Linked DNA regions of Nothobranchius furzeri. The protein of the gene in region 1 purifies or fractionates together with the protein of each later gene. This does not show direct contact. Links are inferred from orthologs where the notes say so. Each region holds a gene or a part of one and is shown in the gene's direction. Other genes may lie near its edges.

Region 1 (10,977 bases):
TTATGTGAACTCTGAAAGGTTTCAAGTATTAATAGTATCCAAATATTTAATACTGTTAAATCCATGTTTTCAACAACATTATGACTGTCGAGCAAGTGTTCTTGTTCCAGTTTAGTCCCAAACTCTCTTCATTGTGACGCAGTTTCTTAGCAGTTCATTTATTTATGTTATTAACGGTAAAGTCGTCTTACATTTCTGACACTTTCAGCCTCGAGGAAGCCAAACTTAGACAGGTTCCAGATGAGATCAAGATTCCCACAACAACTAATTAATTTAAGAGAATGTTTGTTTTGTGAAAATCTTCAAAGTTCGTGTTACACGACAAGGCCAAACTCAAGCAACGAAACTCAGAAAATGTTCTATCAGACCAAAATTTAACATCCATAAATCAGACGTGATGTTTTTGTGCCTGAAGCTGACTGTGTATTAAATGGCTGTGCTGTCTCTGTGCATCAGGAGAAAAGCCTCATGTGTGTCAGATTTGTGGCAAGGCTTTCAGCCAGAGCTCCAACCTCATCACCCACAGCCGTAAGCACCAGGACGACCGGCCCTACCGCTGCCCTCTCTGTCACTACAGCTTCCAGCACAAACTGGACCTCCGGCAGCACCAGGAGCATCACTGCAGCTTCCGCTGATGCCCAAGCAACAAACTCAGGCCTCCTGGTCTTTTTTCATGGTTCACTTTGTGCAGAGACTGCCTCTCTGTTTGCTCTTTCTTAAGCAGCTCAAACCTATTAGGCTTAAGCAACATTCTTATTCATTTTAGCAGCTGACAAATCCACCATGACCCAAAAAACTGCTTTGTTTACTATTCAGTTATCCAGCAAAATACACCTTTCGGGTGCTGCTTTCCCACATATCTTTCTATGAAGTCCTTTTTGTCTGTATATTCTGACAGAGATGCTAGTCCCTGTTTACATGACCTTCCAGAGGGACCACATTTGTTTGAGTTTGCATCAACCCACATGTTTGCAGCCGAGTATAAGGAAGTCCAGTAGTTATGTTTGCATGTCCAGATGGGACCTGGATATTTTAAAGCTTTGTGCTTTGGGAATTATTTGTGATTTTATTATTTTTTAACCAAAAGGTGAAACAAAAATAAATGATTTCTACAAATAAATATTTAATCTCCAATATTGTCCATGTATTTCTGACCCTGTTCCTACCCTCACCACTGAAAGAAATGACTCATAAGAGTTACTTAAAAAATACATTGTAAGTATTTGCAAGCAAAGTATTTAAGTACATTTAAATGCTGCAATTTGAAGTAATACTTACTTGCCAGTATCAAGTAAAATTGACTTTACATGAAACATAACAGTTATGAAGATTTTAAGTAACATTTACTTAATTAAATCCAAACTTTAGTTACATTTATTTAAACAAATTAAGTAAAGTCTACTTGTTTTTCATAGGCAAGAAAAAATTTTACTCAAAATTTTAAGTTCATGTTATGTCCCTGTAGTATTTGCAATGATTAAATAGATATTAATTATTTTCTTATAAATTTGGATGAATGTTACTAAATAAATGTAACCAATACTCAATGCATTTAATACGTATAAAACCGCTCATTTTTAATTTTAAACAGTTTAACAAACATTTAAATCCATAATAATTGTGTATTAAATTGGCCAATCTTTTATGGGGCAGCCATAAAAGACATGCATAATCTTTACACCACTTTTCAAAGTTGAAGTCGCTTTTTATATTTATATTGGGAAAAAAAAGCATGCGCAAGTACAGCATTTATGGTCACGAGCTTTGGGTAGTGGCCAAAAGAATGAGATTGCGAATACAAGCAGCCAAAATGAGTTTTCTCTGCAGGGCAGCTGGGCTCTCCCTTAGAGATAGGGTGAGAAGCTCGGTCATCCGGGAGGGGCTCGGAGTAGACCTGCTGTCCTCTGTTGTTTGTCCACCACAACAATGTCTGGTTGGTTCGCCATCACCATTTTATCAGTCTGGATCTGGAAGTCCCACAGGTTCTATGGTGCGGTATGGGGGCCAAAATTAAGACTACTGCCCAGCAGCAGGAGGCTATATAAATTCTGAAGCAAACTACCAACCTAATTAATGACAAGCTGGCGCCAGTAACTGAGAGGCTGGCGCTGCTTACTGAGGAATAGCACCTTTACCGGCGTTATTACTAGATACGCTAGGGACTAGCAGCCCTCGGCTGGTGATTGACTGGTTCAAACACTCCCTCTGCTGTCTATTAGCATGGATAGGCTAGCGTTAGCCTGGACGGGCTGGTGTTAGCATTGGAGAGGCTAGACATTAGCGTGCCTAGGTATGCCACTAGCTGGATTTCCTACCCCCTTGACAGACCATTAGCATGGATAGGCTGGCATTAGCATCAGAGAGGCTAGCCATTAGCATGACTCGGAGAGTCATTAGTCAGCTAGTGGCCAGCCTAGGCACACTAATGGCTAGCCTATCCATGCTAATAGACAGCAGAGGGAGTGTGTGAACCAGTCAATGACCAACCGAGGGCTGCTAGTCCCTAGCGTATCTAGTAGTAACGCCGGTAAAGGTGCTATTCCTCAGTAAGCAGCGCCAGCCTCTCAGTTACCGACGCCAGCTTATCATTAATCAGATCAGTAGTTTGCTTCGGAATTGATATAGCCTCCTGCTGCTGGGCAGAAGTCTTAATTTTGGCCCCCATACCGTGCCATAAGGATCTTCGTTCACTCGTTCTCTACCAACTTATGGGGTGATACCCACATTGGGTCTTCCAGTCCATACTATGCACAGATGTTTCTGTACACGATGTCAGCCACTTGGTTGTGGCGTTCCAGGTATGCTTTCCCTGCTAGCATCTTACACCCTGCATCACACCAGTGAAGTGTGTCGTTGGTTCATTTGGAGAGAATGTGTCCTCTTACGCTTAATGTAAAACACTGTGACCTCTTTTCTCCATTCATCATGACTTATTGTAAGCCTTTTTGTGTTCAGTGTTACACCTACTGTACTACAGATAGCACATAGGCCTAAATAAGTCCATTGTACGTTAAGGCTTCAGAACATTTGGATACAAACCCCACAAATATATGTTACCAAATTAATTTTACTGTGTTTTCACACATAAACAGCAAACACAGTGTTCCTCCAAACCAACACAAAGTTGCATATGCAACGGTCTACATATGCAACAGAAGAATGCACTGAATACAGTTTAGTCAAAACAAACAAACAAACAAATAAACAACCATGCTACATCCTCTCTTCCGTTTCTATCTGGCCACAGAGCCCCATCTACATCACAAGCAATGTGCTCCCTGGCCAAGCAGAATAGTAAACTTTATTTGTTTGACACCAAAACGGTTGCAGAAATTCATCTTTGAACAGGGCTCTACATCATCATTCACACTCACGTCAAACAGTTAAAGCCCATAAGACCGTACATATGATCTTCCTTTATCCTTATGTAGCGTTGACAGTCTGGACACCTTTAAAAAACAGTTAAGACCCTTTTATTTAAAGCTGCTTTTACCTAAATCCTTAATTTTCTAATTTTAACTCAAATGTTTTATCTTTCATCTGTTTATGAAATGTTATGATTTTATGACTTAATTTTTTCTGATGTTAATCCATTTCTGTTTTGAGATCGTTATGATTTAATGACTTTGTTTTATTTTGTTTTTAACTATGTGAAGAACTTTGTGATTCTATGTCTGTGATAAGTGCCATATAAATAAAATTTACTTACTTACTGCATCTACACACAGTAAAAACACACTAATTGATGCATACATATACTCAATAAATACAATGCGTGGGTTTTAGAAGTTCCTGTACTTTTAAGGGCTGTGATTGCAACAGGGGAAACATTGCTTAACATGGCCATTCCAGCCGGCCTTCTTCCATATGTGTGTGGATTTCAGTCATACACTTACACAGTCATACTCCATCTGCACACAGAAAAAAAATCCTCATTAGGATTGAGGAATGGATAACACGAAGGAAGATAAACACCTAAAAATCGTGGGTGGTATGTATGTCGATGGGGTGGGCAGCGAACCACCAGTCACGAACCAGAGCAGCCCTGTAGAAAATGACCTGATCTGGTGGTGGAGGAGTGCGTTGGGTAAGATGTCCAGGAATGTGATCAGATGGACAGTGTTGTAGGGGTCAAGGGTAGAAGTGATGGATGACACAATTGTTGGAAATAGCTGCTCTAATGTCTTAAATTAGATTATGTGCGACAGGTGTTTTTCCTTTCGATTACATTGTATACTTTACAGTGTACACTTTACAGTGTACACAGAGGATCTTACGTGGTCAGTGCACACGAACAATACAGTGAAGAAGGCACAGCAGCGCCTCTTCTTTCTCAGAAGACTGAAAAGATTTGGCATGAGCCACCGCATCCTCAGGACCTTCTACCGCTGTGCCATTGAGAGCATCCTCACTGGATGCATCTCCGCCTGGTTTGGCAACAGCACCGCTTACAACCGCAAAGCTCTCCAGAGAGTAGTGCGGTGTGCAGAAAGGATTATTGGAGGTGAGCTTCCCTCCCTCCAGGACATCTATAAGAAGCGGTGCCTGAGGAAAGCGGGGAGGATCATCAAGGACTCAAGTCACCCCAGCCAAAAACTGTTGAGACTACTTCCATCAGGAAGGAGGTTCTGCAGCATCCGGTCCAGAACCAGCAGACTGAGAGACAGCTTTTTCCATCAGGCCATCAGACTGCTGAACACGGCGCAGACACCTCACCCTCACTACTGAAACTCCAACATTACACGCTCCGTACTGTACATTAATGCCACTGTTTTGCACATACCAACCTCTGTACATTTTATATCTCTTATCTTACTGTTTACTTTATTCATTTGTATACTTAGATTAGCCATTTTTATATCTTACATGTTTTTACATTACTGTATTTTTGCACAACTCTGTTGCTGTGAAGCCCACACACAAGAATTTCACTCGCATGTACTGTACCAGTGTACCTGCACATGTGACGTGACAATAAAAGTGATTTTTTGATTTTACAGTTTTGAATGACAGTGGGCTTGTAGTGAGAACAAGACTTCCTTTATGACAACTGTGCCAAATGCAAAGAACTGGGTGTAATGCAATGTAGTGTAAAGCAGACAGCGTGCTTGAGTGACTTCTGGCAGCTGCCACGAGCGGTGTCGGTGTACACCGGAAGTGAAGCCTCTGCACTTCCTGCCTTCGGTCCTGGCGCACTCTCCTGTGAACAGCTAGCTACACGCTAACTCGACAGTCCTGCGCTCATTGAGAATAGCGAACCATAACCGTAAGGTAATGTTAAAACCTATTTATACTTCTCCAAACACTCTTTCGTGTATGCAGACATGGGCAATGTTTAAGGAGTCGAGTCGTTTTTTTTAAATGTTCGATTTTGGTTTGATTTTACAACTGATGCTATGCTAGCTGGCATGCTTGATGCACTAATAAAAATATATTAGACAAGTCTAGTCATTTAGCTAAACTTTGCTTCGGTTTCGGTGAGTCTGGCAGTTAAAAGTTAACTCCAAACAGAACATACACCGTGGTGTATTTTGGAGTTTCAACATTGAGGTGAAGTGTTCACCCTTGTTAGCCCGCTAACCTCGCTTTGGATGAAGGAGAACGACTCCATTGTTTATGTGGGTGACCACCAGCTCACGCAACGGGTCTCACTCGGTTTGAGTCAAATACATAAAGTTCTGTAAAGTGTCGTCTTTATTAAGTTGTAGGGGAAATAATCAACTTAATACACACGTTTGTTTTTTATCTCATTTTTCAATCCTTATTCTTGCTTTTTTTGTTGTCCGCGGCCTGCTAATGTTAGCCATGCTAACTTGCTGCTAGCCGTAATCAAACAGCCCCACGATGTTTTCAGCCGCTGTTAACGCTATATGAGTATAGCGGCTGATGTGTAATACGATTGCTAACTACTTAATTTTAAACCACTGGCAATCACAGCCAAGTAATGATCCCAAACTTTCTGTATATTAACAAAATGAAAAATCCAGTTCTTGCCAGATCTCAAAACTTGCAAAAGCAATCCCTCAGGTAAACAGGATAACACAGTACATTGTTTATTAAAAATGCAGGATTGTGTGTGAAAACTTAGTCAATTTACATTTCTCCAACACAACATCCCCTTCAGATGGCAGAGAACGACGTTGACAATGAACTTTTGGACTACGAAGAGGATGAGGAGCCCCAGGGACTTCCTGAGAGTGGGACACCAGCAGGCAAGAAGGAGGTTAAGGGGTCCTATGTCTCCATCCACAGTTCGGGCTTCAGAGACTTTCTCCTGAAACCAGAGCTGCTCCGGGCCATCGTTGACTGTGGTTTTGAGCATCCTTCAGAAGGTAATGGTTATAAAACAATTTAGGGAAAAACAAAAGTCTGTGTCAGTTAATTGGAACGTATATTACAAGAAAGAATGCATCAGTTAAGGTTTGTGCAGTTATTAGTGGAAAAAGGTAGCAGAATCCGATCAAAATTTAGATTTTCTAGAAAAATAACAGGTAGGCTCATCCTGAAAAGAACTTATATTAAGCAACAGTTTTTGATCTTTGTACTTTTTGTCATTTGCTTTTATTTTAGTTCAGCATGAGTGCATTCCTCAGGCTATCCTCGGCATGGATATCCTGTGTCAGGCCAAGTCTGGTATGGGGAAGACAGCTGTATTTGTTCTTGCAACGCTGCAGCAGATCGAACCTGTGGATGGCCAGGTAAGATGATCATATGTATGGACAACAAATGAAAATCTTATTCTTTACATTTTTCCTAGAATTTAAAGTAGTGATGCACCGATATGAACATTTTTGACCGATACTGATATCCGATATTAAGATCACTGTTATGACCGATAGCTGATATTTGCCGATACCGATATGCTGACATGAATGCTTCTAAAATCTGCAGATTTTGTATAAAATAAAAATGATTAAAGCTGAATTTATGTTATTATGTACACACACAACTGCGGTTCTGAGATGATTACAATCACTGTCACATGACTGAACAAATATACATCACCCCCTCACCCTCTGAAACAGGCAAACAAATGGTGACAAGATGGGAAAAAATATCTCTCAATAATATTGGCCTGTTTTTTTTTTTTATCGGACTGATATTGATATGTTAAAAAACGGCTAACATGGCCGATACTGACACTGATGCCGATATATTGTCCATCCCTAATTTAAAGTGCAGAACTAGTCATGGTTGTTGAGGTTTCTAGAAACGGCAAACTTACGAATATTGCAGATGTGTTTCTGAATAAGGCAGTGAAATACATCATCATTACAGCAGGGCTGAAACGATTCTTCAAATGATTTGATTCATTACTGAATAGAAGCGTCATTAAATACGCGAACCGCAGTCTGAACACATTCTTTTCGCACACAGTGTAGTATTCTAGGAGCTGTGTAGGAAAAGAAATAAACCAGCAGACACAAACCACTGTGAAAGGCAAAAACGGTCCAAAGTTTGGGAGTGAGGTGAAACTATGAGCAGATAGCCAGTGCTAAGCTAGCGCGTAGCATCCTGACGATCAAGTGAGGTTAAGAAAAAATGCGACGGTTGTGAATGACTAAACTCTACAAGCAGAAGAAACATCTCCATCTTCCTGTTTATTTGTGGATGTCTGCAGCAGTGTGGGGCAGAGATGCTGCAGCTACCTGGAGTCTGGGTTGTTGCTACTGGGGTGCACCGATCTATCTGCCCCAGTCTTGTTTTTTTATTGATTTTTTTTATTTTTAAGAACGGCGATCAGCCAAAAACTGCAATCGGTGCACCCCTAGTTAATGTTAAAACAGATCATTGCTGTGTTTTAAAACGGGCACAGAAGTTTTGTTTTCGAAATTAAGAGCAATGCAAAATATGTTAATTTATACTTGGGAAAAAAAGACCTCATGTCCAGTTGAGACTGGTATTGTTTCATGAGTTTTCATATTGGTTTTCTCAATAAAAGGAAATTGAAACGTTGACGTAATCTGATTTTAGTTGAGACAAAATCGGTATCGGCAAGTCAGGTTTTTTCAAGGTCAGTGATCAGCCAATAACTGCCATCGTTGCACCCCTATAGTTTCTACGAGTCTGCTCTACACAACGCATCAGGGATACGGCAAGCTGTTGTAGCATGTATTTCACAAACGCTTCTATATTTGAAAACATTTGAGACAATATTATGTTACCAACCCATACAAATACCATACATATGCCACCATTACATTGTTACAGCAGAAATTCAATATTAGCGTTTCCAGTAGCTTACTAATGAACATGTTAATGAAATCATTACACGCTATTGATCATATGCGGATATATTTAGATTATTTTGAATAAGATGAGTGATATTAACACAAACTAAAATGTTATTGAAATATAAGTTTTATTTTGTTCCATAAAATATTTAAAAACTGTAAAAATCTGATGGGAGAGAGCGAACCAGACAACAGCAGTTAAATATATGTCACAGAGCATTTTATAATTTAGTTTTTGCATATTTAGCAGCAGGCTAATTTCACGTAAAACGTCGTAAAATAGAGTATCGGTGGAGGATTCGATAGAATATTTGAATACTAAAATATTCTATAGCTGCAGCCCTAAAATACAGATTTTAGGAACCGTGAGCACTGAAATACTATGTGATTGATATTCTGACAACTCCTTATTTATTATTTTTCCAGGTGTCTGTCCTTGTGATGTGTCACACAAGAGAGTTGGCCTTCCAGATCAGCAAAGAGTACGAGCGCTTCTCCAAGTACATGCCGACCGTCAAGGTGTCCGTGTTCTTTGGAGGCCTGGCCATCAAGAACGACGAGGAAGTCCTGAAGAAGAACTGCCCTCACATCGTCGTAGGAACTCCAGGACGAACCCTGGCCCTCATTCGTAACAAGACGCTCAGCGTGAAGAACATCAAACACTTTGTGCTCGACGAGTGTGATAAGATGCTGGAGCAACTGGGTGAGTAGGAGGACAGCTAGTAGTTTGATCTGATGTTAGGATTGGTCATCTTTATGCCTTTCATGTCCCTCAGCACTGCGTTATTAATTATCATTATTTAAACTTTCTCAATATTTTCATTTTCAGTCACTTATTTGTTTTTTTAAAGCTGTGCATCACCAACTTCCTTCCTGATCTGACACACGGGGAAGATTGCTCCGTTTTAGTACAAATGAGGTAAAAATGAGAAACACATGGAACATAATCTGTTTTTCCCCTCAGACATGAGACGGGATGTTCAGGAAATCTTCAGACTGACGCCACACGAGAAGCAAGTAATGATGTTCAGTGCGACTTTAAGCAAAGAGATTCGCCCCGTCTGCCGCAAGTTCATGCAAGATGTAAGTTATTGTCTGGGAAACAGACAAGCGGTCGTTCACATGAGTCGCATGTCCACAGAGACCCTCCCCCAAACGTCTGAACCATCCCTTTAGTGTGTCTAACGGGGGTTATGTTTATAAAAAGGAGGGATGCACCGATCAGGTTTTTTGCTGCCGATCACCGATACCGATCACGTGGATTGGCCAGAAATTTTCTACAACATTATAATGAGTGCTACAAACTACATAATCTGGGAATAAAGGAAATGTAACCTAATCTAAAATGGTCTGTATTAGGGTTGTCACGGTGTGAAAATTTAACCTCACGGTTATTGTGACCAAAATCACCACGGTTTTCGGTATTATCGCGGTTTTTTTTTTAAACGTGCTACATTTTCACACAATTAAATAAACCCTGTATGTCAGGAAATATTGTCCTCAGTTTGTGTCTAAATTTTGCCTAAAATGTGTTATTTAGTAATTATGTTGTTTATTTGTTTACATTTTCCCCCTTTAGTCTTTAAAATACCAATATTTGCCCATAACGTCTTATTTTATGTCTGTTTGATGTCATCATTTAAAAATATTAGACCAGATGATACTCAGTACTCAAGTAGCCTTCTAATCAGATACTTTTTTACCCTTACTTGAGTAATAAACCCTATATCAGGAAAATATTGTCCTCGGTTTGTGTCCTTCCAGTGAGCTTTGCAGATGTGGGAAAATGTCATCAGGCAGTAATCGTTGTTAAATTCATAATTATTCTCGGAGAGAGACCAACTCTTATCTGCCCCTGGGAGCCCCGTAATGCATAGCGTCATTTCAACATGGCGGTGTCCGCGACACGGTTTATATGCAGGTAGCGGCGCTGCGGCTGCTTTATATAGCAACTCGTTGCATTCTCCCTCAACCCAAATCCTCGGATCACGCACTTTAGCTAAAACGCTAACGTTAGCTTGCCTTGCGTTGACTGTAGAGTTGTGGGTGATGGTCACGCAGATGTGTCATGAGATTTGAAGCGTTGCTGCCTTTCACAGACACTTTTTCTGCACGTGCTGCAAACAGGATAGCCGTCTTCTATCAGCTGTCCCTCGGCATTCTTCACATATCCAAAAGATGCCGTACTTCCCACTTTGTCTTTGAGGGATAATAAATGTCCTCCTGAGCGCTGCCGTCTCCTCCTTTGGCCATTATTTCAGCTTTAGCTTAAAGAAAGTTTTGGTTGTAAACAACAAAGTGCGCATGTGCCGCCGACAACTTCAGCAGATGATACGGTGGCTGGTAAGGGTCACCGCACCTACGGTAATCCACCGAGATAATATAGTTTTTTTTTTTTAAAACAAGACGGTTATTATTATTGTCAACTGTTTTACCGGGGTTTACCGCTACACCGGTTACCGTGACAACCCTACCTGATCGGTCTGCTTTGATCTATTTTGAAAACTCCGATCAAAACCGATTGGGGCGCTATCGGCAGACTGGGATCAAACGCCGATCCATCGGTGCATCCCTAATAAAAAGCCTAGTTCAGCTGTCTGCCATAAAGCCCGTGTTCTAACAGTAGATCAGTGTTAAAAATCTACTGATGAATCAGCCTTTCCCGTGTTTTGGTTAGAAGTTACCTGAAGTCAAACCCCTCCAGCTTTGCCCACTCGCGGCTGACCGTGTCACGAGTGTCCAT
Region 2 (10,993 bases), on another chromosome or scaffold:
AGCAGCTCATTAACAACCCTTTTTGTTTGCTAGTGTGTGGTGCACAGCATCCTTGTAGAGTTCTATACCGCTGTCATTCAAAGTATACTCACCTCATCCATAATAGTCTTGTATGATGATTTGGACTCCTACTCACATAAAAAACGCATAACTGACAAATCGTCTAAAATTATAAGTCATATCCTTGCAGTAAGTATACAAAAGAGATTCCCAGGGAAACCGCCCCTAAATCGGTTCTACGCACGTGGCTAGCCTGAAACCCAGCCTATTCACCCAGTGGCGGTTCTACATCGAATTACTCCCCGGGCGAGGCCCCCTTTGAGCGCCCCCCCCCCCAACCCCCCCCCCCCCCCCCACCACCACCACCACCACCACACCACCCCACCTGCATGAACACACGCATGTTTTCTACAAACAGGCATGTTTTATTAGAACGACTATTGAACATTCATTTTTCTAAGTTGCACATATTTACATTAATTACTATGAAGTTGTCAGAATGTAAAGCACTATACATTATATACTGTATCAAAATATATAGAATCAAATATACAAAAACAAACAATAACTAAATATTAAGAATATATGAACATAATAGATAATAAATATTCTAAATAGCAAAAATATTTCACACGTAACAAACTAAAGGTAATCACTACAGCATTGCACTTAGAATAGAAAACACAAACTAAAATTAAAACCTAACCTTGATGCAAAGTCATCAATAATGTCATCACATGAAATCTGCTCCCCTACTGAGTGATTGATACTAATCAGAGCCAGGTTAGTGAGCCGCCCCTGAAACATAGGTGACCTCAGGTATGACTTGATCAAGTTTTGAAAAGCTCCTCTCAGCTGGAGCCACAGTGACTGGCAGAGCAGTCCAAAAGTTGGGGTAGATCTCCAATAGATCTTTATCATGATCCATAATATTTTAGAATTGCCTCTGAAATTGTAATTTAAACTGACATAAAAAACTGTAGACTACCAAAAATGCCAACTTTTACAGAACAAATCATGTAAAAAATAATCAGTGCAGCCATCTGCAATAAATAAACAGGATAGTTAGTGGTGACTGGGGAGTTTTCTTCTGCTTGAAGAGTTGTTTTATTTATTATTATGTGAACATGATCAACATGTGTTTGTTGTTGTTCAGGCAGGCCACAAGCTGCAGTGAGCATTTAACAAATCCTAGTTTGAATCAGTAAAAAACGATTCAAGGACTTTTTTCAAACCATTTGAATATTCGTTTAAATATTTCAGCCCTATTAGCTCTGTTAGCAATTAGTTGACCGCATTTAACCGTTAAAATCCCAGTTAACTGGTTCAAAAAATTGAAAACATGCATCATGAGAGCTACATACCTTTATCTTTCTGCTCTTTTTTCTTTTTTTCCCCTGAATGGGGCACCTGGTGGTTTTAGCCTTTTTATGTTCATCTCTTCTGTTTGTCTCCTGACTCAGTAAGTTTCCTTTAGTCAGGACTAATCAATTTGACCTTGATGGGGGGTGACCACAAAATCGTTTTGTTTTTCCTTTTTTTATTCGGCCATTTCACACAATTCAGAGAAACCTGAAAGAATTATAGGCCTGTGTTTATGATATTATGAATGAAATATGGAAGAACGTTAAGATGTGATTGACTTTAGCAATGCTAATACAGTTGATTCAGCCCCTGCACGCTCATTCATTTGGGAAAGACGCAGAGGTGAATTCCCCCGCCGCACCCCTCCCCTTCCTGTTCTTCATAGACACACGGTGCACGTGAACGTTCTCAGTCAGCAGGAGCGCCTGCAACTGCAGGGGGCGCCAACTTGCTGTTTCCAATCCAGACACTGTCATATGACAGATAATAGAAAACCTCGCTGCGGCGCAGATTTCCTTTTTTTTTTTTTACTCCGCGCTTGTGCGCCCCTTTTGTGTCATGAAAAAATGCCGCCCCGGGCAACTGCCCTGTCTGCCCGTGCCTAAAACCGCTACTGTATTCACCATAGTAACACATGCTGGAGAACAGACCTGCTACGTGGCAGGCTAGCAGCTAGGCTTACCGATGCTTTGTGAGTATGACTGGACAAGGCAAATGACGTCACCTTTTTCTTGTTGGTGGCTGGCAGTTACAAGATGGTGAAATAGCGCCACTGCTGGCCCACAGCGGAATCAGCAGCTGCTGTACCGTAGACACATCATACAACAGGTCACCTTGGACCCCTCTCACCCTGCACGTCATCTGTCCAGACTATTGCCTTCTGGAAGACACTACAGGTCCTTACAAACAAAATCAACTAGATTCAAAAACAGATTTTTCCCAACAGCTATACTGACACTAAATCAATTAACTGCCTAATGTTTCTGTCTGTTTATTTTTTGTTACATCATGTGTAAACAGAGTTGTGAGCATGTCATGCTGCACCGGAAACAAATTCCACCAACTTTTTGTGTGGTCATTAATAAATTAATCTGAATGAATCAGAATCATTTTTTATAGTTTTGCATGAATTTTGTGATTCAATTCATTTTTTATTTTTACATGACATGCTATAAATGATTAGTTTAATTTAAAAAGAATGTTTTTCTTTTCTGTTTTGTTTTAAAACAGCAGGATGTAAATCGGGTAATTGCACACAAACAATCTCCAATAAAAGATCGTGATGATTAGACAAGATGGTCATGATGGAGATTTCCTTTTTGGCTCCGTCACAAGAATGCTGCTTCTCCATCTGCACACGTGGCCTGGCTGTTTCACGTCCAGTTTTATGGCTCGTGGGTATTTGATGGCCTCCACACCCTTAGCTAATCATTGCATATCTGTCAAATGACTTTAAACTGCATAATCGAGCATTTATCACCAAAGAAATGCAACCAAGGCTGTTTGAATACACAGAAGTCCCAGCTGTCTTCAAGACAAGTCAGGATAATCACTGCATCCCCAATGTGTTGTCCTCTGAAAAAAATCGTCAGCAAAATGTCCCAAATAATTTTTATGATGACCTGTGACACAACTGAGATTTGCATTTTGTCACCTGACATAGATGAATAAATTAACTAACTTTAATACAGTATTAGGAATGTAATCCATGTGGGGACATTTTTATTTGAAGCAAAAAATTGAAAAAGCATTGAAGGGATGAAAAAAGGTCTAATTTAAATGTGACGTGTGGCTGAATTTAGTAATAACCTTAATCAGAATGTTCACTCATTCATATGTGTTTACTTTCATCTTCCTAACAATAAAATAAGTCTTCGTTATATGTTTTATAAAGTGGAGTCTCAGAGGAAACCACGTGACAGCAGGCAGTCCAAAAACTCCTTCCTTTGTGTGTTTGACCTCAGGGGTCAGGGCATTGTGTTTTGCCTCTTGTTTACAAGTTTGTCTCTACAGACAATGCTCTCTTTGTTGCCCCTCGGTCATTTTGTCTGAGTGTTCATCAAATTATTTGGCTCTCATCCTGACTGATTGGTCTGTAACTCGGCAGAAAAGAGCTGTCGGTGGACCTCTCATTATCTTCATCTGGGAAAAGTAAACACGTGAGGAACTTGAACTAGTTTAAATTCATTTTGTGGCGCAAACTAGTCATTTTATCAAAAAGTGTCAAAGTTTTGCAAACATTTTTCTTTATCTCAGATAATCTATTTAAAGAGCCAGTTCACTGATAAACCGTTTACTTGTTGTTTTTAAAATATGTACGGCTACAAGGAGTTTCACGCCAACGTGTAAATAGTTCTTTAATTTTATTTCATGCATTAGCCGTCGATAGAAAATGAATGAGGAAAGCCTCGGATTAGAAAAGCCAGTCAGATCTATGTTGTCAGGTAGCATTCATTCACTCACTCATCTCGGCTCAGAAAGGGGAAGGCTGTTGTTGAGGAGAGAGTAGAGAACGCCTCAGCTAGCAGAAGCTAACCATTAGCATTAGCAACTCTACAACACAGCAGAACTCCTACAGGATTGTGGAGATGAAACAATCAATGTTGCAGAGCAGAGTCAGTGGTAAGGTCATGTTGCTGTTAGCCAATCAGAGGAGAGATGTCCCAATATCAGGAAATAAGACTCACATTCCTGTCGTCTGAACCTACTTTCTCCTCTGGCTGAATTCTCTGAGCTGAAACAGGTGCACCGGAGCTTTTTTCCCCCAGAGTACAACTTACAAGGCATTTGTTCCTACAATAGACCACTGCAAATGTATTACAAACATGGGCGAAGGACCTCTTCAATCTTTGCTCCATGGCAGCTCAATCAAATATTTTTCCCTATTTCATTCCTTTTCTAGTCTGACCGTCTTATCTTTTCCACAAAGTTAGACTATATGGACCAGTGTCTTATCAAAACTATGTCAAAGGTTGTAGAAGTTACAGGCACGGACAGCGGGATGAGCGTGCCTCGCAAACATGGAACTAAGCCTCAGCATGCAACCTAAATATATTTGTTCATTTTACTTTTTGGTGCAATTGGAGGTATATTTTTGAAAACTCGTTGCATAAAAGCTGAACAAATTATCTAGGGAAGTTTAATTGAACAAAATAAATAAATTATTTAATTAATTAATTAAATCACCCATTTTAGGTAGAATGTAGAAGATTTCTCAATCTTCTTGCCCTAATCACAACCTCAAACCACGCACAAATCACTTTTAAGAGTGCCTCCCAGCACAATCTCCAAGTTTCTCATCGTGCTTACTCCCTTTCTGCTCTTCATCAGTTTTTGGCAACAATCTGATGAACTCTGAGTAAGATAAGGGATGGGAGAAAATAGGTATTAGTAAATCACTCCTCACTTCCCTTTTTCATGAACACTACAACCACACACGTGAAGGAAATAGAGCCTCTCCTGCTTCCATGTGACACTAAACGCCTCCACTTCACAAAGTCATTGTTCTTCTCTTAACATCAGCACAGCCACCAAAACACTGTCACAAAAAGGTTACAAACACCCATCAAAAGGAGCTGAAAAGGATCATCCTTGTATGTAAATCCTAGAGGTCTTGACCTGGATCAAAACAAGCTTCAGTGTTCTCACATGGGTTGAGTAAATCTTTAGTTTAATGATTGTTGTCTCAGGGTAATGGAGCGGTTATTCTAATGTCAAATCGGACATTGTTAGACAAGCAGATGGTATCAAAGGATTCAAGGCCTGCAGCACATAGCTGAATGTTCATTTGCATGATTAGAACATGTGGAAGTGCACACCAAGACAGGCACACATGCAAAACAAACACATTACAACTGCTGTGCATTGTGACCTGTCAAAGTCAAATATTTATTAACAAGAAAGGACAAAAATTATTTCGCTCTTTCCGTTAAAATAAATATAACTTTGAAATGCATACAATATAAACAGAGTGACGTTATTTTACAAGTATTCAATGGCTGACACAACTTATTATTATTATTATTATTATTGTTGTTGTTGTTGTTGTTGTAATTATTATTATAAAGAAAGTTTGGAACATGACTCTTTAAAATAAAAATCAAGTGTAAGATTTTTTTAAGTGAGTCCTGGCCAAAAGGCAAACTAAACCATACAGTGGGGAAATTAGGATTAAAATAAATATTAATACTGTTATTTTCAGGAAGTAGAAATACTAATTTTAACTCACCATTTGAAGAAGGTTTCCATGCATCCATCACTTACAGCCACTCAGAGTTTGATGAATGTAAGCAAATTAAAAAATAATGAAAAACTTTAACAGCAACAATGGTGTACAACACTGCCATCGTGTGGTCAAGATTGCTATGCTACGGTTTATTTCCATTTTTCATCCAAAATGGAAATAAAAATGTGACTGACTGAACTATTTGAAACTAAATTAAAAAATACAAAGTTAGTTTTATCCTAACTCCGTTTATAGATAATATGTATTAATGTATAATTTTGTCAGATAATTCCCTTTACGTACAAAAACGCCACTTCATAACCGGAAGTGATTCGTTGGCGGTTCCGGTTTCAGAAGCGTAAAGATGTCTCTGTCCTCATTTAATTTTGTCGACGCTAAAGAGAAATTTTCGGTGAGAAGTGGCTTCTTTCTGTCATTTCCATCCATAATATATTTGTATGTAAGACAACTTGTTGATAAAACCGTAAAAAATCTTAACTTCACTACTTTATGGTTGTGCTTGTTGTACTAGTGTAGTAGTTAGCCAAAGAAGCTAAGCTAAAGTAAACGCTTCTGAACGGTCCTGTTGTTTACGAGGTTGAAGTTAGCTTCCGATTTGGAAATTGGCTAAAGAGCATTTGCACTCAATTTTATTTACTATGACCATCTTTAATCTGCTCTATTTAAAAAAACTACAATGCCTAGACAGTTCAAACCGGGACTGGAATATTCTAGACTAATAGCAGATTCCATAAAGCATAGTTTGTGATTTGTGAAACCTTTTTCAGATTTGTGAAACTTAAAATAGGCAGATTTTGAAGTTTCACAAATCACAAACTGTTTTATGGAATTTGCTATTAGTCTAGAATAATCCCGTCCAGGTTTGAACTGTCTAGGTATTGTAGTTTTTAAGATGAAGCAGATTAAAGATGGTCACCGTATATAAAAATTGAGAGTGGCCTTGGCCTTAGCCATTTCCCGAATCGGAAGCTTGAAAACGGAAGCAAACTTCTGCATCGTCTTTTGTTTCTCATTATGTCCTTTCCCATGCTCACCCAACCGTAGGCTGCAAGCACACAAGCACTAGCTGGTAAAACCTGCAAACCCCTAATCGCCGTGTTTAACCAACTCCCCGGCAAGTAAGTTGTGCTCCTGGGTCGAGGTTCCAGATCAAAATAATCCAGAAATACAAATTTACTACTTGTGTGTTTTTGTCAGTGAGACGGAAAAGAAGACCACACTGGATCAGGCTTTGAGGAGTGTTCTTGGTGACCAGATTGTAAGTTTAATAAGTTAGTTAATTTAAATTTGAAAATATGTGAGAATCGCTAATGATTGTTTCTCTCTAGCTTGAGCAGAAATCATGCTGTGATGACTATCTGTCTCTAATCTACCAGAGCATCAATGCTGTTACTGAGGGTATGTTATCACTACTGCTGAGGTGGATATTTATTTTAGATTAGATGATTTTGGATTTTAAACATACATGTTGAAAGGATCGCTTTGATATAAGTTTTGGTAAAACGTCTCTTAAAACAAATGACAGTGTAACATTTATTCTGTTTTTAATGCAGGTATCTGTTCTGCTACGACTCCTTTTGTCCTGCTGGGAGACGTTCTGGATTGCCTTCCCCTTGACTTGTGTGACAAAATATTCTCTTTTGTTGAAGAAAATGTCTCTACCTGGAAATCGGTATAATTACAGGCATTTTTTTTTGTAAAGGCAACAAAAATATTTCTCTGTTTTTGTTAGAAGGTTTCATTATTGTACCTGTGTTGTTTCTTTCTTCCAGAGCTCTTTTTACACAGCAGGAAAGAACTATTTGTTGAGAATGTGTAACGGTAAAAATCTTGTCTTTTTCTCTGTCATCCAAAAGACTTTCTATTCTCAGAAAGTTCAGGTGCAAGTGACTTTTGTTTCATCTGTACAGATCTTTTAAGGAGGCTGTCGAAATCCCAGAATACAGTATTCTGTGGGAGAATCCAGCTTTTCCTGGCACGTCTCTTTCCTCTGTCTGAAAAATCCGGTAAGAAAGTCAGTTATTTTTCTAACTTGAAGGGGAAAAAAATCAAAGCACTTTACAATCATATTGTAAACCTCTCAATTAAATAGATTTTGTGTGTGTTTTAATCCAGGTCTCAATCTACAAAGCCAGTTTAATCTGGACAACATAACCGTGTTCAATAAAAATGAACAAGAAAGCACTCTTGGTCAGAAGGTGAAGTATTGTTAGGTTAATTATTAGGTTAATGAGCTCATCCTTTCCATCCTGTTTCATCTGTTTTTTTGCTACTATGTTGACAGCACGCTGATGAAAAGGAAGACGGCATGGAAGTGGAGGAAGGAGAAATGGGGGAGGATGACGCCCCGGCACCGTGGTGAATGAAAACCATTTGCTGTATTTGCTCACATTTTCACCTTCATGAAATAATAGTACCCTTTTGTTCCTTAGTTCTATTCCGATTGACTACAACCTGTACAGAAAGTTCTGGACATTGCAGGACTACTTTAGAAATCCGTTGCAGTGCTATGAAAAAATCTCATGGATTACTTTTGTTAAGGTAATCCACCTCGGTGCAGCAACTCTGACCAATTTGACGGATCACTGTCAATATCCAAGATGAGGATAAAAAAATAAATAAACTTGTGTGTTGCTTTTGCTTTGCTCAGTACTCCGATGAGACTCTTGCTGTGTTCAAAAGCTACAAACTGGATGACATGCAGGCGTCAAAGAGGAAGTTGGAGGAGCTGCGAGCGTCTGATGGTGAACAGGTTTACTTTGCCAAGTTTCTCACGAGCGAAAAGGTGCAGAAAAATCATTAAAAATCTTTTAATCATGTATAAATAAGCAGTTTTTAACTGACTATGGCTGTAAGTCATATGTTTTTCTGTCTTAAAAGTTAAACTTCATTGTTTTGGGATTTTTTTTTTTTTTGTAATCTGCAGCTGATGGACTTGCAGCTCAGCGACAGCAACTTCCGGAGACACATACTGGTGCAGTACCTGATCCTGTTCCAGTACTTGAAGGGTCAGGTCAAATTCAAAAGGTGAACATTTGTGCAACTAAACAAATATCACTTGTTGGGATGGAATTAGTTCATGTTTATGCTTTTTGATTTCTTGACACAGCTCAAGCTGTGCTCTGAATGATGACCAGACTACATGGATTGAGGAGACGACTAAGCTGGTGTTTCAGGTCAGTTCAGACACGTAGGACCAGAAATCAGGAGAAAACGTGTCTGTTGCGAAAAAAATCTGTCCGTTCTTCTTCTGAGGTTTTGTGACAATTTCCATTTACATCACAGTTTTTTTATACCTCATAAAACTATTATTCTTATTAACACTGTGAACCACTGAGAGAACAACTTGTAACTTATCTGTTCTTGCAGCTCCTCAGAGAAACTCCCCCTGATGGAGATAAGTTTGCCACCATGGTTGAGGTAAGCAGTTCTACAGAAATACTGATGTATTTTTTATTTTTTATTTTTTTTCACATTTAGCTTCTGTTTTGTTTACATTTAAGTCTCATTTGTCGTAGCACATGCTCAGCACGGAGGAAAACTGGAATGCCTGGAAAAATGAGGGATGTCCGAGCTTTGTGAAAGAAAGGTAATGACTGAAAATTGACTTTTCCTTTATTTTTCACGCAGTCACCGGTCAGTTTTAACAGTTGTGAGTGTGTGAACTCACAGTAGCGTGTCAGAATGACAAGTAGTTCTTTTGTTTTCCTCTGAAACAGAACGGTAGACGAAAAACCTAAAAGGCCCACCAGGAAGAGACAAGCTCCAGAGGACTTCCTTGGAAAAGGGCCGGACCGAAAGATTTTCATGGGAAAGTAAGTTTTCAAATAGCAATGGGATGTATTAGTGAAAAGTCTAATCCGATTTATTTATTCAGAACACCAGATGTAATTAAATTAAGTTAGTGTTTTTGATAATCCAGAGTTGGGTTTCCACTTGGATGAAAAATTGTTTTGTTTTTAGTGACGAGCTAACCCGATTGTGGAACCTGAACCATGACAACATGGAGGCGTGCAAGTCAGACAGCAGGTCAGTCGATTATGGAAAATAACTACAAGAACACAGTCATATAAATACATTTACAAATGACATCTGAGTTTGTTTGGTTTTGGTTTTCAGAGAGTTTATGCCGTCACTGGATGAGTTTTTTGCTGAAGCCATCGAACAGGCTGACCCAGCTAACATGGTGGAGGAGGAGTACAAGTAAGTCTGCTTGAAAAACAGTTTAAAAGTTCATTTCCTGTTTACTTTGTTCTTTTTAATTGTGTAAATGCTTTCAGGGTTGTGCGAAACCCGAACTACGGCTGGCGGGCCTTGAGGCTGCTGTCCAGGAGGAGTCCACACTTCTTTCAGCCGACTAACCAGAAGTTCAAGAGCCTCGCAGACTACTTGGACACTATGGTTTGCAAACTGGCTAAAGAACTGCCGGTGAGAGATTTGTCGACAATAAAACACAATTTTGTCATTTTAAAATAACGAACTATTGAATGAGGCTTCTGTTCACTCTAAAAATGCAGAAGGATCTCCCTTCAGAGGAAATTAAAACAGGCGAAGAGGATGACGACGATAATGGAGACAATCTTCTAAAAGAAAGCAACGACAGTGAGTTTGATTTATCGGTTTTTGATTTCTTACGCCTGGAAACAAGACTGTCTTTAAACCCGAATTATTTGGAATATTTAATATAAAAGCAAGTTTACATACCATTTTCATATTTGGAACACTTAAAACCTCAGTTTAAATATTTGTTTTTTTCCTAAAGGTCCCAGCATTCAGAGCAAACTTGTAACGAACCAGCAGATGGACGACATTGCGGCTAAACTGGGTGCCCAGTGGAAGACGCTGGCCTCTCATTTGGAGATGAAGGCAGCAGAGTTGCGTGAAATCGAGACGGACAGTGAAGATGTTGAGATGCAGGCCAAACTCCTGCTGGTTTCATGGCAGGACCGAGAGGGCACACAAGCTACTGTGGAGAATTTGGTCTCCGCTCTAAATGCAGCTGGTTTTTCTCAGATCGCAGACGGCCTCAGTGAGGCTTAAGCTCTACCTTTCTTACCTTCTTGCAACATTCTTTGTCATACAAAAACCTATTTACATTTTTTGTATGGAAGTACATGTTAAGCCATTTTTCCACTGTAGAAACCCAATAAATGTTTTTTTTTCCTATTTGTTTTCCACCTTATGTTGACAAAAACAGCCTCACATTTTGCTTTTACACTTTATTTTCACCACCTGTGAAAGAAACCTGTTAACTTATTACAGAGTGTAGATGTTCTGGGTTTTACACACCGTGGCGAAGTGATCAGGAAACAAGTCTCAGATCACCATGAGAAGAACATTCAGAGCCCGCAGAATCTCAAGTCTTTATTTAAACACAAGGTT
Region 3 (10,472 bases), on another chromosome or scaffold:
TTGATTCAGGTGAGGGGCCTCAAGCACATTTGAAGAAACTTGCAGAATGCATCCGTTGGTCTTATGGACTAGGCATTGTACTGCGTTTAGGGAACATTGCCAGATTGGAGCTGAATTACTGCATACCCATGGGAGTCCAGAGTGGAGACAGGTAGGAATATTTGATGTGATGTAGTCTCTGCTAAGAAGATTGCATATTCTACACATGACATGTAATGTTAAATGTCTGTAGTCACTTTAAAGTTACTGGCAGCTCTGTGGCTTATATATTGTTTTCTGCTTTGTTGCAGGATATGTGATGGGATCCAGTTTGGAGCGGGAATCAGATTCTTGTGACGCCATGTTTTTCCATTTTATTGGAAAGGGGAATTTGCTTGTACAGAATTATTAAAAGAAATTAATTAAAGTACAATGTTTTTCTCTTGACTTGGTTCTGTGTTGTAGGTTTCTGTCATGCTGTATTGGTAAAAAAATGATTTAGTGGACAACAATTCAACACAAAAATACGGTCAATCATTTTCCTGACCTGTAGGTGTTATTTTGAGTACAATTTTAAAATGAACATATATTTTCCATAAAGTGTTAGAATTTTTGCATCTTTATAATTTTTATTTTGGGCAGTGCTAATTCCTTTTTGTTGTACTTGATCGATTACATACTTCTCTGAATGCCTGTACTTAAGCACAGACTTTGGAATATTTAGATGGAAAATGGTAAACAATCAAGTATAAACAAGCTTATTGTTACATTTGAAACTGTTAAGCGTCGACATAAACTGCTAAATGTGTAAAATGTAAACTAACCGATCTGCGTGTTTAAGCTGCGCATCGATTTAGCGCATGCCCTATTGTCACGTGACGTCTGACGGGCCTCTCTATTCGCTAAACTGGCGCATGCTTACTGCGTTTTGTTCCGTAGCATCTTTGCGGGAAAAAAAACGGTTTTCATTCACTAGTTTCTAGAATATTCATCTTCACGTTCCGCTACTCTAGAAGATTGTACTTTATACTACGTCGTAGTTCGTTTTGTTGTCGGTTAACACATTGCGATAGCAGTCGTTGAAGGTCTTTAGCGGTTTCGTCAGCTGTCTTATCTGAGAGCAGCGGGGACACGGACGCACGCTGATGGCGGTCACCATCGAGGATCTCTACCGGAGCTACGGGATTCTTGCTGACGCTAAAGACAACCTATGTCAGGTATAGAGCAACCTTTTTGTTCTGTTTTTACTAGGGCTGTATTTAGTAGTTCGTATTTATGTGATGCTTTTTTAATGCCTGTTTTCCCCTCACCATTGTTTATGCTAGGCTAGCCGCAACGAGCTACAATAATGACCTGGCTAATGTTGATAGCCTCACTGTAGCGAAACTAACGACAACCTTTTTCCACATCTTTCATCAATTTAATCCTTCTATGTTGCCTTTCTTCTAACAATGGGTTTTTAGAGAGGCGTAATTAAAGCAGATTTGATCGCATTATCATCAAACATCCAAATCAAAGTGCTTCTCAAACTAAAGTGACTCCAGCACTCTTGGTTTAACAGATTGATTTGTTGATGTTTACAGTGAGCATCAGTCACCATCTTTATTCTTTGGCGTATTAATAAAACGTCGTTATTCGTTTCATTTCACTTGAATGCTTATATTCTGGTTGGCAATTGTATTCTGTTTTGAAGTTTGTATATTTAAATTTTGAGTTAAATAAAATTATTGAATTGAATATTAAGCGCACCTGGGCTTTAACAGTAAGGCCCAAACATTCTGTGTTGACTGTTTGAAGCAAGCTTTATCCAGCTGTCAGTTCTCGGATGTCAGAATTTGTCCTCTAGTTGAAACTTCCAGCCTTAATAAAGTTTCTTGCAGAACTTGATGTGACATCAGTGACTTGAAAAATACAAATGACTGGTATTGGTTATCACTGATTAGTCCTGGGGAGTGATTTTCTGTATTACCCGATGAACTGGGAACTCCTGTATATGTAAATATCTGTCTCGTCTGTTTAACAGTGTGGGGTTCAGTAATCCCAAGTCACATCTGTGGTTGTATGTTTCTTTTCTCTTCAGCATAAAGATGCCTATCAAGTAATCCTCAATGGTGTGAAGGGTGGTGCCAAGGAGAAACGACTGGCAGCACAGTTTATTCCTAAATTCTTCAGCAGCTTTCCAGAGTTGGCTGATGCTGCCATCAATGCCCAGCTTGATCTCTGTGAGGATGAAGATGTGTCTGTAAGTTCTAGACAAAACGTGTTTGTATTAGTTGAACTATGTGGGATTTCTGATGATGTGTTTTTTTATAGATTCGACGACAAGCCATTAAGGAGTTACCCCGGTTTGCCACTGGCGATAACATCTTAAGGGTTGCAGATATTCTCACCCAGCTCCTTCAGACAGGTGTGGACTATTATAAGCCACACACATCCTTCACTGGGTCACTTCTAACTGCTGTGTGGTAATGTAGTAGTAATCTGTGTGTATGGTTGTGCTTTTAGATGACACTGCAGAGTTCAACCAGGTGACTGCAGCTCTGATTTCAATATTCAAAATGGATGCTAAGGGTGAGTTTTGTTTTCTTAATGCTATTCATAACAACTGATCTAGAAACAGTTTATTTAATTGATACATTACAACCGTCCCCCTTACATGTACCTGCCATCCAGGTACTCTTGGAGGTCTCTTCTCTCAGATCCTGCATGGGGAGGACATTGTCAGAGAAAGAGCCATCAAGTTCCTGTCTACCAAATTGAAGACCCTCCCAGAAGATGTCATGTCAAAGGAGGTTGAAGATTATGTCTTTGCCGAGACAAAGAAGGTGAGGAAATGGTGTAAATTGGTTTTTGCAATCCTTATTGAAACATACATTAACTAATTATTAGTGTGCAGTCCTATAAAAGAGTTCTGGTTGAATTGATCTTCCCTACTGCTTCCTCAGGTGCTGGAGGATGTGACGGGTGAGGAGTTTGTGCTCCTGATGCGTGTGGTGTCTGGTCTGCATGTGCTGCAGACAGTAAATGGGCGGCAGCAGCTTGTGGAGCTGGTAGTGGAGCAGGCTGACCTGGAACAGGCCCTTAACCCGTCAGAACCAGATGCTGTAGACCGCCTCCTGCAGTGCACACGCCAAGCCCTCCCGCTGTTCTCTGTGAGTACATGTACATTCTCAGCTGATGCGCGATACGATAAATACTTTAGTTAAACAAATTATCTCTATGTAGCAGGTCAGAAAAATAACAAGAAATTAACTGTTACCATTAATGTCTTTCAAGTTCACCAGTCTGGTACCAAATAAAAACTTTAAATCAAACATTGAAATATGCTCTGAATTAATTTTACGATGCAATTAAATTGAAGTTGTTTGTTTTTGTAGAAAAATGTTCATTCCACTCGGTTTGTAACCTACTTCTGTGAACACGTCCTGCCTAATCTCAGCACACTGACGAGTCCTGTGGCAGAGCTGGACATTCAACTGGAAGTGAGTTTAATTTTTATTTTCTACTGAGATGATAGAGTTCATTATGGGGGAAATCTCATCAAAATCATTGCTGTGATGTCATTATTAGCAGGACCCAGTTCTGTTTACTGTTTAGTACAGTATTGATTTTAGAGTCCATGATCTGCCAAAGCTTCTTATATACAGTTGGGGTTACTCGGTGTACTCCGATCGCTCGTCTAAAGGGTTTTCTAATGTTTGTGTACTTAGGTGATCTAGTTCACAGGTGTCAAACTCAGGCGCTCGGGCAAGATTAGGTTCACGATCTATGTACATTTGTCCCATCAGAGAAAATTTTCAAGTATATATTAAAATTGACCTGTCAGCCCATTGGACCGCAAAGACTAAAAATCTCATAGTGTTTAGCAGCACCAAAATCCTTTTCCTGCTTTGGACTCCTTTAAAGTTCTGGTTAAAAATGACCGGTGGTGTGAAGGCGAGAACTCAAAGTCTTGATGTTTGGTTAGTGCTGATTGTATAAACGGAGTCAGAGTGACTGCTACCTGTTAGTGGGGTCAGTAGTCCGCCCCACAGAGCTTTGTCCCCCATTAGTCATGTTGGTATTCCTTCCAGTAGTAACATTCTAATGTGCGTTTGTGTTGGTAGGTCCTAAAGCTGCTGGCTGAGATGAGCCCGTTCTGTGGTGATATGGAGAAGCTTGAGGCCAACCTCAGCATGATGTTTACCAAGCTCATGGTAAGATCACGTTATCCTGTCATGGGGTGGGCCATACAAAATCAGTCATGATAATACCAGTCATCACTTCTTGCCAGGGAAAAGTATATATCACAATAGGGCTGCACGATATTAGGAAAACCTGCGATATTCGATAACAGTGCTTAATATTGCGATATCGATATTACTCACGATAAATGAACAAATACTAAAGTATGCAGTGTTGATGTCGTCTGGCGTGTGACGTCTGCTCTGAGTTCAAAGCAAACAAAAACTAATGCATGAATTCCATTACAACATAACATTTTTATTGCAAAAATATGCAGCTGCACCTGCTACTGTATTAGCAGCAAAACAACAAACTGCATGCATGCAGTTTCTCAGTGACTTTTAAACATCACCTCCACCATAAAACTTTTCCTGATGCTCCAAATACAGAAAAACATCCCTTACCAGGGTTTTTAGAATAAATAAAAAAAATCAGAAAATAAGTTTAAATGTTAAATAATAGTTAACATCACTTAAATGCAACAGCAAATTCTCTCATTGCTACTGAGCATTTTCTCCACTTATGTGGTTATGATATAAGGCTGTTGCTGTAATTGGGAAGTGAACTGTGCTGGGCCAAACTAGGAGAACATTAAGATTTTCTGAGGGAAAGAGAAAAACAATTGTCTACCTTTCAGAAGAGGAACTGGCAAAAAAACTACATGGAAAATATGTGAAAACGTTTGTTTTTAACCCCAAATTGAACAAGTTTACCTAGATCTTAAAAAGCAGCTCAGATGATGAAACTGCAACTATGATTCTGATAACAAGCTAACAAATTGAACTAGCTCCTCTAGGAGGAGCTAGTTCAACCGGCTAGAGAGCAAACAATGACGGTTCAACCGTCATAACCGGCTAGCAGAGCTTCTGAATGACAGTTTATGTGCTGCAGCAAATCAACTATCCTGATTAACAAGGTTATAAAAGCTCATAAATGAAAAATCACTTTGATGTGTGGGGGAACTTTTCCAGGCCCTCTTTAGCAGGGTGGGACTGGGAGGAGAGTGCTGTAGCCTTTTAGCTGGAAGCTAACCGGAGTCTGGGGCTAACATCACCACCCGGTGGAACACTAGCGACATGAAGGTGGGTTGGTTCACCGGCACGTGTCGGAGTCAGCCCGCTAAAAATGATTAACGACACCGAGCGGACTCGCGTTCACGTTTGAAAGCAGCGCTGATTCCAGAAACCTCAGCACAAAGTGCGTTCGTTAATCTGAGCCAGCATGACGAACAAGGGAACGGCACCGCTAACTCAGTTCGGGTGTTGCTTTCCATCCTAAGGGTGTACATAGGAGGCGGGCGTATTACGTGAACGGACCCATCTGATTGGCCGCATATCAGAAGGGCTACATTTGATTGGTCATATAATACTTCCGTGTAAAAAACAGAGCTGGTTTACAAAAAGTTGATGTATGACACGGATGGAAATGGAACTGTTGAATCAAACATTTATCGCCGTTTTTGATGTGCGTTGCGATGGGCCTATCGCACGTCCTGTTATCCCGATGACGGTAATTTTTTGATATATTGTGCAGCCCTACATCACAACACAAGAAAAAGTTTCTGAGGTGTTTTAGCCACAGCAAAAATAAGTTACCTGGTTATGGGGTGGGTTGGTTCTCTTCACACAAAGAAAAAATAAATCATCAGCCAGTGCACAAATGGTTGCTGAACCACCAACGTAAAAACTGAAAAGCTGAGTGGAAGATTTTGGGAGGAACAACACCCAGTGACTTGGGAATCTAGATAACAGTTGACTTGACTGGCTCCTTCTAGGTGCTATAAAAAAATCAGAGCCAAGTCCAGAAACTTCCTCCTCTATAACAGCAACAGTGGAGGTGTCATCATTCTCATGTCTTTCAAGAAATGTTTCTATGACTCGTGTTTACATTGTACATACTTTTAACTCTTGCTTTACCTCCTTATTTTGGGAAAAAATGAAACGGGTTTCATAGGGCCCAAGTATTTATGACAAAGTATAAATTAATAAAACAATGTTTATGCTTATGTCATAAGATGTATTGTTAATATCAGAATACTCAAAGTCACGATGCATCCTTTATCAAAACTTTAAGACCACTTGAAAACTTGAAAAATACTGTAAAGGGTCATTTTAGCACATGCTGGCTCAAGAAAATGATTTAAAATACGAATATGTTAAGTATTCCTTTAAGTGCTGTCCGCCTAGGGGAAATGGAATCAAACCAAAAGAAGCCACCCGATTGGCCAAAGGGCTCTATTTGATTTGTCAAAATCTTCATGCTTCAGTTTGACTAAATGCATTATGCGTAGCAAACATTTGAGCTGACCATGTACTGCATGCTGTATTGCAGTGATACATTTGCAATGTGTTGTGCAGCCCTATAAACAAGACTTAAACTGTTAAAGTTGTCCCAGATCGAGAAAAACAGGAACATGAAAAAAAGTAGGTGTTTTTTACCTCACCACTCTTATGGAATTGTAGAACCTTGTATGTTTTCTTTTAGGTATCTAATATTTAAAAATCTGTCAGGTGTATACTTCTGTGTCTGCAGGGCTGCACGTGTAGATGGAGACTTTTTTCTTCTTCGGATTCTCTTTTGCCTTTTGCCTTCGGGTGTTGCAAAGCAGTTCCCCAGCAGGACAACAGAGGAGGAGGAGTATAAACTATATTATTAATATTATGTATCTGTTGTAGGAGTTCATGCCCTTGCCTCCAGAAGAGGCGGAGAATGGAGAAACCTCGGCAAATGAAGAGCCCAAACTTCAGTTCAGCTACGTGGAGTGTTTGATTTTCAGCTTCCACCAGTTGGGCAAGAAGCTCCCCGACTTTCTTGTTGACAAAGTGGATGCTGAGCGCCTCAAAGACTTCAAGATAAGGTATTGGGGTGACATGTTAGACTCCTGGTGATTTAGTCTGTTGCCACTCACCTAGTGCTGCTTTTGCTTCTCGTTTTAAACAGATTACAGTATTTTGCCCGAGGCCTGCAGGTTTACATCAGACAGCTACGAGTAGCACTGCAAGGAAAGACCGGAGATGCTCTGAAAACAGAAGAAGTAAGGACCGTGGGCTGCTGAAAATTACTATAGTACTCTAACAGATCCCAGGATCAATGTTAAACTTCTTTTATTTTTGTATTTAATCAGAACAAAATCAAAGTGGTGGCTCTGAAGATCACAAACAACATCAATGTTCTCATCAAGGTAATTTCTACAAATCAGCTGTTAAAACATGTACGGCTGTGTTTTCAGTATAAACGCTACCTGTTATAGAAATGTGTATGTTTGGCGTGGGACAGCGCCACGCCTGAGCCTGACTGGAACTGTAGTCGGGGTTTGTTTGCTGTGGTCGATGTTTACATTAGTGAACCTGTGGGGAAAAGGTTTTTTTTTTTTTTTTAAACCATTTCTCGTGTCTGTGTAAGAGTTGTAAAGACAAAGTTACTCGTTGACTTTTTGTAGATGATTCCTGAATAACATCTGTTTGGTAAAATGGAGTTTATGTGTGATAGGACTGATCGGCTAAAGGCAGATTTTGTTTTTTTGTCATTTGTTTTTTTAATTGAATTCAAAATAAAAGTTGTTTTTCAGTTTTAGTCTCAGATCAAAAACAAGGAATGGGAAAGTCACCTAATTTAAAATCACCAAATGAGCGCGGTTGTGTCTGCCGCTCACTGTGACCCCCCCTGGCATTGGGTCAAGTACGAAGGACAGTTTTCACCACACAAGTGTGTATGACTACTATAGGCATTTAATCTTAAGACTTTTCTCTTGTTGCACATCACCCTCTAGTTATATCTGCTGGATCTACTCAAGCAAACCAAACTCATGTAGTCAAAAAAAAACACAACCCTGAAGTAAATGAGCTGGAATAAAGGGCATCATTCAAATATTTAGCACTTCAACAGTGAAGTTCTAGAAAAGCCTAAAAAACAATCCTTAAAGGTGCTATAATGTTCATACCATTTATTTTTTCTTTACAACATTCTTAAATTGCAAGATTTTTTAAAATCTTTATTTTTGTTTCAGGATCTTTTCCATAACCCTCCATCGTACAAGAGCACCGTTACCCTGTCCTGGAAACCGGTCCAGAAGCCCGAGGGAGTAGCGTAAGTTGGAAACATCAGGCCTTCGTCGGCTGTCTGATGGCCTTGCGGTTCTTTTCAGCTTCATTGGACTTTTTTGTTTGCTGCTTTTAGCACCAAGCGTCCATCAACTGAGGACACAGGATCTGGGGGAAGTACCAAGAAGCCGGTCGTCTCTCTGCCTCGACGGGACGCACGGCAAATTTATAACCCCCCCAGCGGCAAGTACAGTGCCTCAATTGGCAATTTTACCTATGGTGAGAAGGATTCTGTGGCACGTTTTATTTTTCTTTGTTTTCTGACACTGTTTTCACTGAACAGTTATCACCTTTTAACCCTAAAAGCACATCAGGGAATTTTAAATATCTTCATATCTAATCGAATGTAAATCCTCTGCACTCGTGGATTCACTGGTGAGACGGCAGAGTCTATCACTGGGATTGTAGTGGATTCACTCCCAGTGTTTATTCTAGACCCGTGTCAGCCTCGAGCAGAAGAACTTATAGTTGTCTACTCTTTCACAGATGAGTTTAAACATTCATGTTTGCTCTTCAGGATTCATCTGATTGAAGCACAAGGATCTTCTGTCTAATAAAAATCAAAAATAAAATTTAGCTTGAATATAAAAGGGCTGTTGAAGTTCAACAAAATGTAATTACTGGTCAGAACAAGTTGTTGACATAATAGAACTAGAACCAATGCATCAAAAACAGACATAAGAATTGGAGCACTAATGTTATACTGATCTATAATTGTGAATTTTTTTTTTTGTACACAAATCAGTCAAGAATTTGTCTGATAAACTTCCATAGGCTTTACCATTCCATGGCTGCCAATCAGTATGAGTTAACCACCTATAAAATGTATCGAGTCACTGACGGGCATCAGTGTCTTTACAGCAATCCTCACACTAAGCAAGCATTTAGCGACAGTGGAGAGGAAAATTCCCTTTTAACAGGAAGAAACCTCCAGAGGATAAACCAGGGGTCAGCCACTTTTCCCATCAAAGAGCCATTATTACCCGTTTCCCACAGTAAAAGTATACTGGGAGCCGCAGCAGCCGCGGCGTTGTGGGTGGGCGTTCCCTCTTGCACCTGGGCCCTCCCTAAGTCAGCCGAGAGCTGCTTTAACTGATCACAACAGGTGACAGCAACCGATACCATTCACTCTTGTACCTCAACGTTATCTTTCAACAGAAGATGATTAATAAAACCATCTGTATAAAATGATCCAGAAGTTGTAGCCCATCTGTGCCTACCGTATTTTGATATTTATCACCCTGTTAGTGGTTTTATTGATCAAGTGCCGTTTTTTGACGCTTCACACACGTCTCCTTTTAAAACATGTTTAAACTGTTCAGAATACAAATCTAGGCTCAGTCTCGTTGGATTGTTTTAATTAAACAGAGCGAAGCTTTACATTAAACAATGTTAAAGGTAAGAAAAGAATCCGATCAATTCGTTTTTTTTTTCCCTCATTTACAGTGGCGGACATACCGGCGCAGTGCGCATGGCTCTGGTGTTACTCAAGTTAAACCTCCTGGGACCCAAACTTGTATTGGGTTTGATTTAAAAGAAAAAAACATCTAGCTATTACAGACTAGTCGACTGTAATTAACAGAAAAGTAACAAATTTTAATTCGATAAAAATTAATTAAAAAAATTGTCAAATATCCTAAAAAAAGACAACTAAAAAAATTTTTTTAAATTAAAGTTATAGTGTCTATAAATAATAATGAAAAGGTCCAAGTAGAAGAGAATAAAATTTTAAAGAGCAAGGACCCGGACACAGGGTCCTAGGAGCTTAATGTTCCTTCACAAGAAGGCAAAACAGTTACATGATGGGGTTTGCATTGACCGCATATTTTCCGTATTTGATCGTTTATTTTGACGGAGAAACCTCAAGCCTGCAGATGGCTGACATTTTTATCGTTACGCTCATCGCGGAGGTAGCTACATCAATCAAGAAAAGATTCCCATCAGAACATCTGAGCTGGACACTGCTCAGCGCAGCTCGCTGTCAGCGTGCACGTAAGGTGGACCGGAAGCTGAAGATTTATTCAGCCGATATGTTGATTGGGGGCTTGGAGCGTGTCGCAGTATCAGAGCACATGCAGGAAGATTCCTCTCACTATGTTTTCCAAACCCTGTCTCTTCAGAGACTTGTCATTTAGAAAATGTTCCCTGATTATGAAACTTTGGCAGAAT

Evidence for each region.
Region 2: the proteins of ATP-dependent RNA helicase DDX39A (region 1) and thoc1 purify together in Homo sapiens (affinity purification with mass spectrometry; 3 studies listed by BioGRID and IntAct, with this or other methods). This does not show direct contact. The link is inferred for Nothobranchius furzeri from reciprocal best matches to the Homo sapiens genes DDX39A and THOC1.
Region 3: the proteins of ATP-dependent RNA helicase DDX39A (region 1) and api5 fractionate together in Homo sapiens (co-fractionation; 3 studies listed by BioGRID, with this or other methods). This does not show direct contact. The link is inferred for Nothobranchius furzeri from reciprocal best matches to the Homo sapiens genes DDX39A and API5.

The regions. Positions count from the first base shown.
Region 1 is NC_091747.1:68,842,545-68,853,521, forward strand, and holds the start of ATP-dependent RNA helicase DDX39A, read left to right. Parts: upstream 1-5,142; 5' UTR 5,143-5,271; intron 5,272-6,124; coding exon 6,125-6,332; intron 6,333-6,570; coding exon 6,571-6,698; intron 6,699-8,660; coding exon 8,661-8,937; intron 8,938-9,198; coding exon 9,199-9,317; intron 9,318-10,977. UniProt on the Homo sapiens protein: Helicase that plays an essential role in mRNA export and is involved in multiple steps in RNA metabolism including alternative splicing. Regulates nuclear mRNA export to the cytoplasm through association with ECD.
Region 2 is NC_091751.1:49,145,670-49,156,662, reverse strand, and holds thoc1 (THO complex subunit 1), read left to right. Parts: upstream 1-5,905; 5' UTR 5,906-5,954; coding exon 5,955-6,002; intron 6,003-6,655; coding exon 6,656-6,729; intron 6,730-6,808; coding exon 6,809-6,869; intron 6,870-6,939; coding exon 6,940-7,009; intron 7,010-7,164; coding exon 7,165-7,283; intron 7,284-7,383; coding exon 7,384-7,432; intron 7,433-7,521; coding exon 7,522-7,617; intron 7,618-7,726; coding exon 7,727-7,809; intron 7,810-7,895; coding exon 7,896-7,969; intron 7,970-8,043; coding exon 8,044-8,152; intron 8,153-8,261; coding exon 8,262-8,396; intron 8,397-8,537; coding exon 8,538-8,638; intron 8,639-8,720; coding exon 8,721-8,787; intron 8,788-8,980; coding exon 8,981-9,031; intron 9,032-9,129; coding exon 9,130-9,200; intron 9,201-9,330; coding exon 9,331-9,426; intron 9,427-9,574; coding exon 9,575-9,640; intron 9,641-9,730; coding exon 9,731-9,814; intron 9,815-9,891; coding exon 9,892-10,039; intron 10,040-10,128; and 5 more. UniProt on the Homo sapiens protein: Component of the THO subcomplex of the TREX complex which is thought to couple mRNA transcription, processing and nuclear export, and which specifically associates with spliced mRNA and not with unspliced pre-mRNA.
Region 3 is NC_091744.1:54,690,829-54,701,300, forward strand, and holds the start of api5 (apoptosis inhibitor 5), read left to right. Parts: upstream 1-922; 5' UTR 923-1,124; coding exon 1,125-1,196; intron 1,197-2,059; coding exon 2,060-2,221; intron 2,222-2,292; coding exon 2,293-2,386; intron 2,387-2,484; coding exon 2,485-2,550; intron 2,551-2,652; coding exon 2,653-2,804; intron 2,805-2,924; coding exon 2,925-3,131; intron 3,132-3,356; coding exon 3,357-3,461; intron 3,462-4,085; coding exon 4,086-4,175; intron 4,176-6,878; coding exon 6,879-7,060; intron 7,061-7,143; coding exon 7,144-7,237; intron 7,238-7,327; coding exon 7,328-7,384; intron 7,385-8,209; coding exon 8,210-8,289; intron 8,290-8,379; coding exon 8,380-8,522; intron 8,523-10,472. Other genes in the region: samm50 (sorting and assembly machinery component 50 homolog A), read left to right, coding at 10-151, 291-336. UniProt on the Homo sapiens protein: Antiapoptotic factor that may have a role in protein assembly. Negatively regulates ACIN1. By binding to ACIN1, it suppresses ACIN1 cleavage from CASP3 and ACIN1-mediated DNA fragmentation. Also known to efficiently suppress E2F1-induced apoptosis.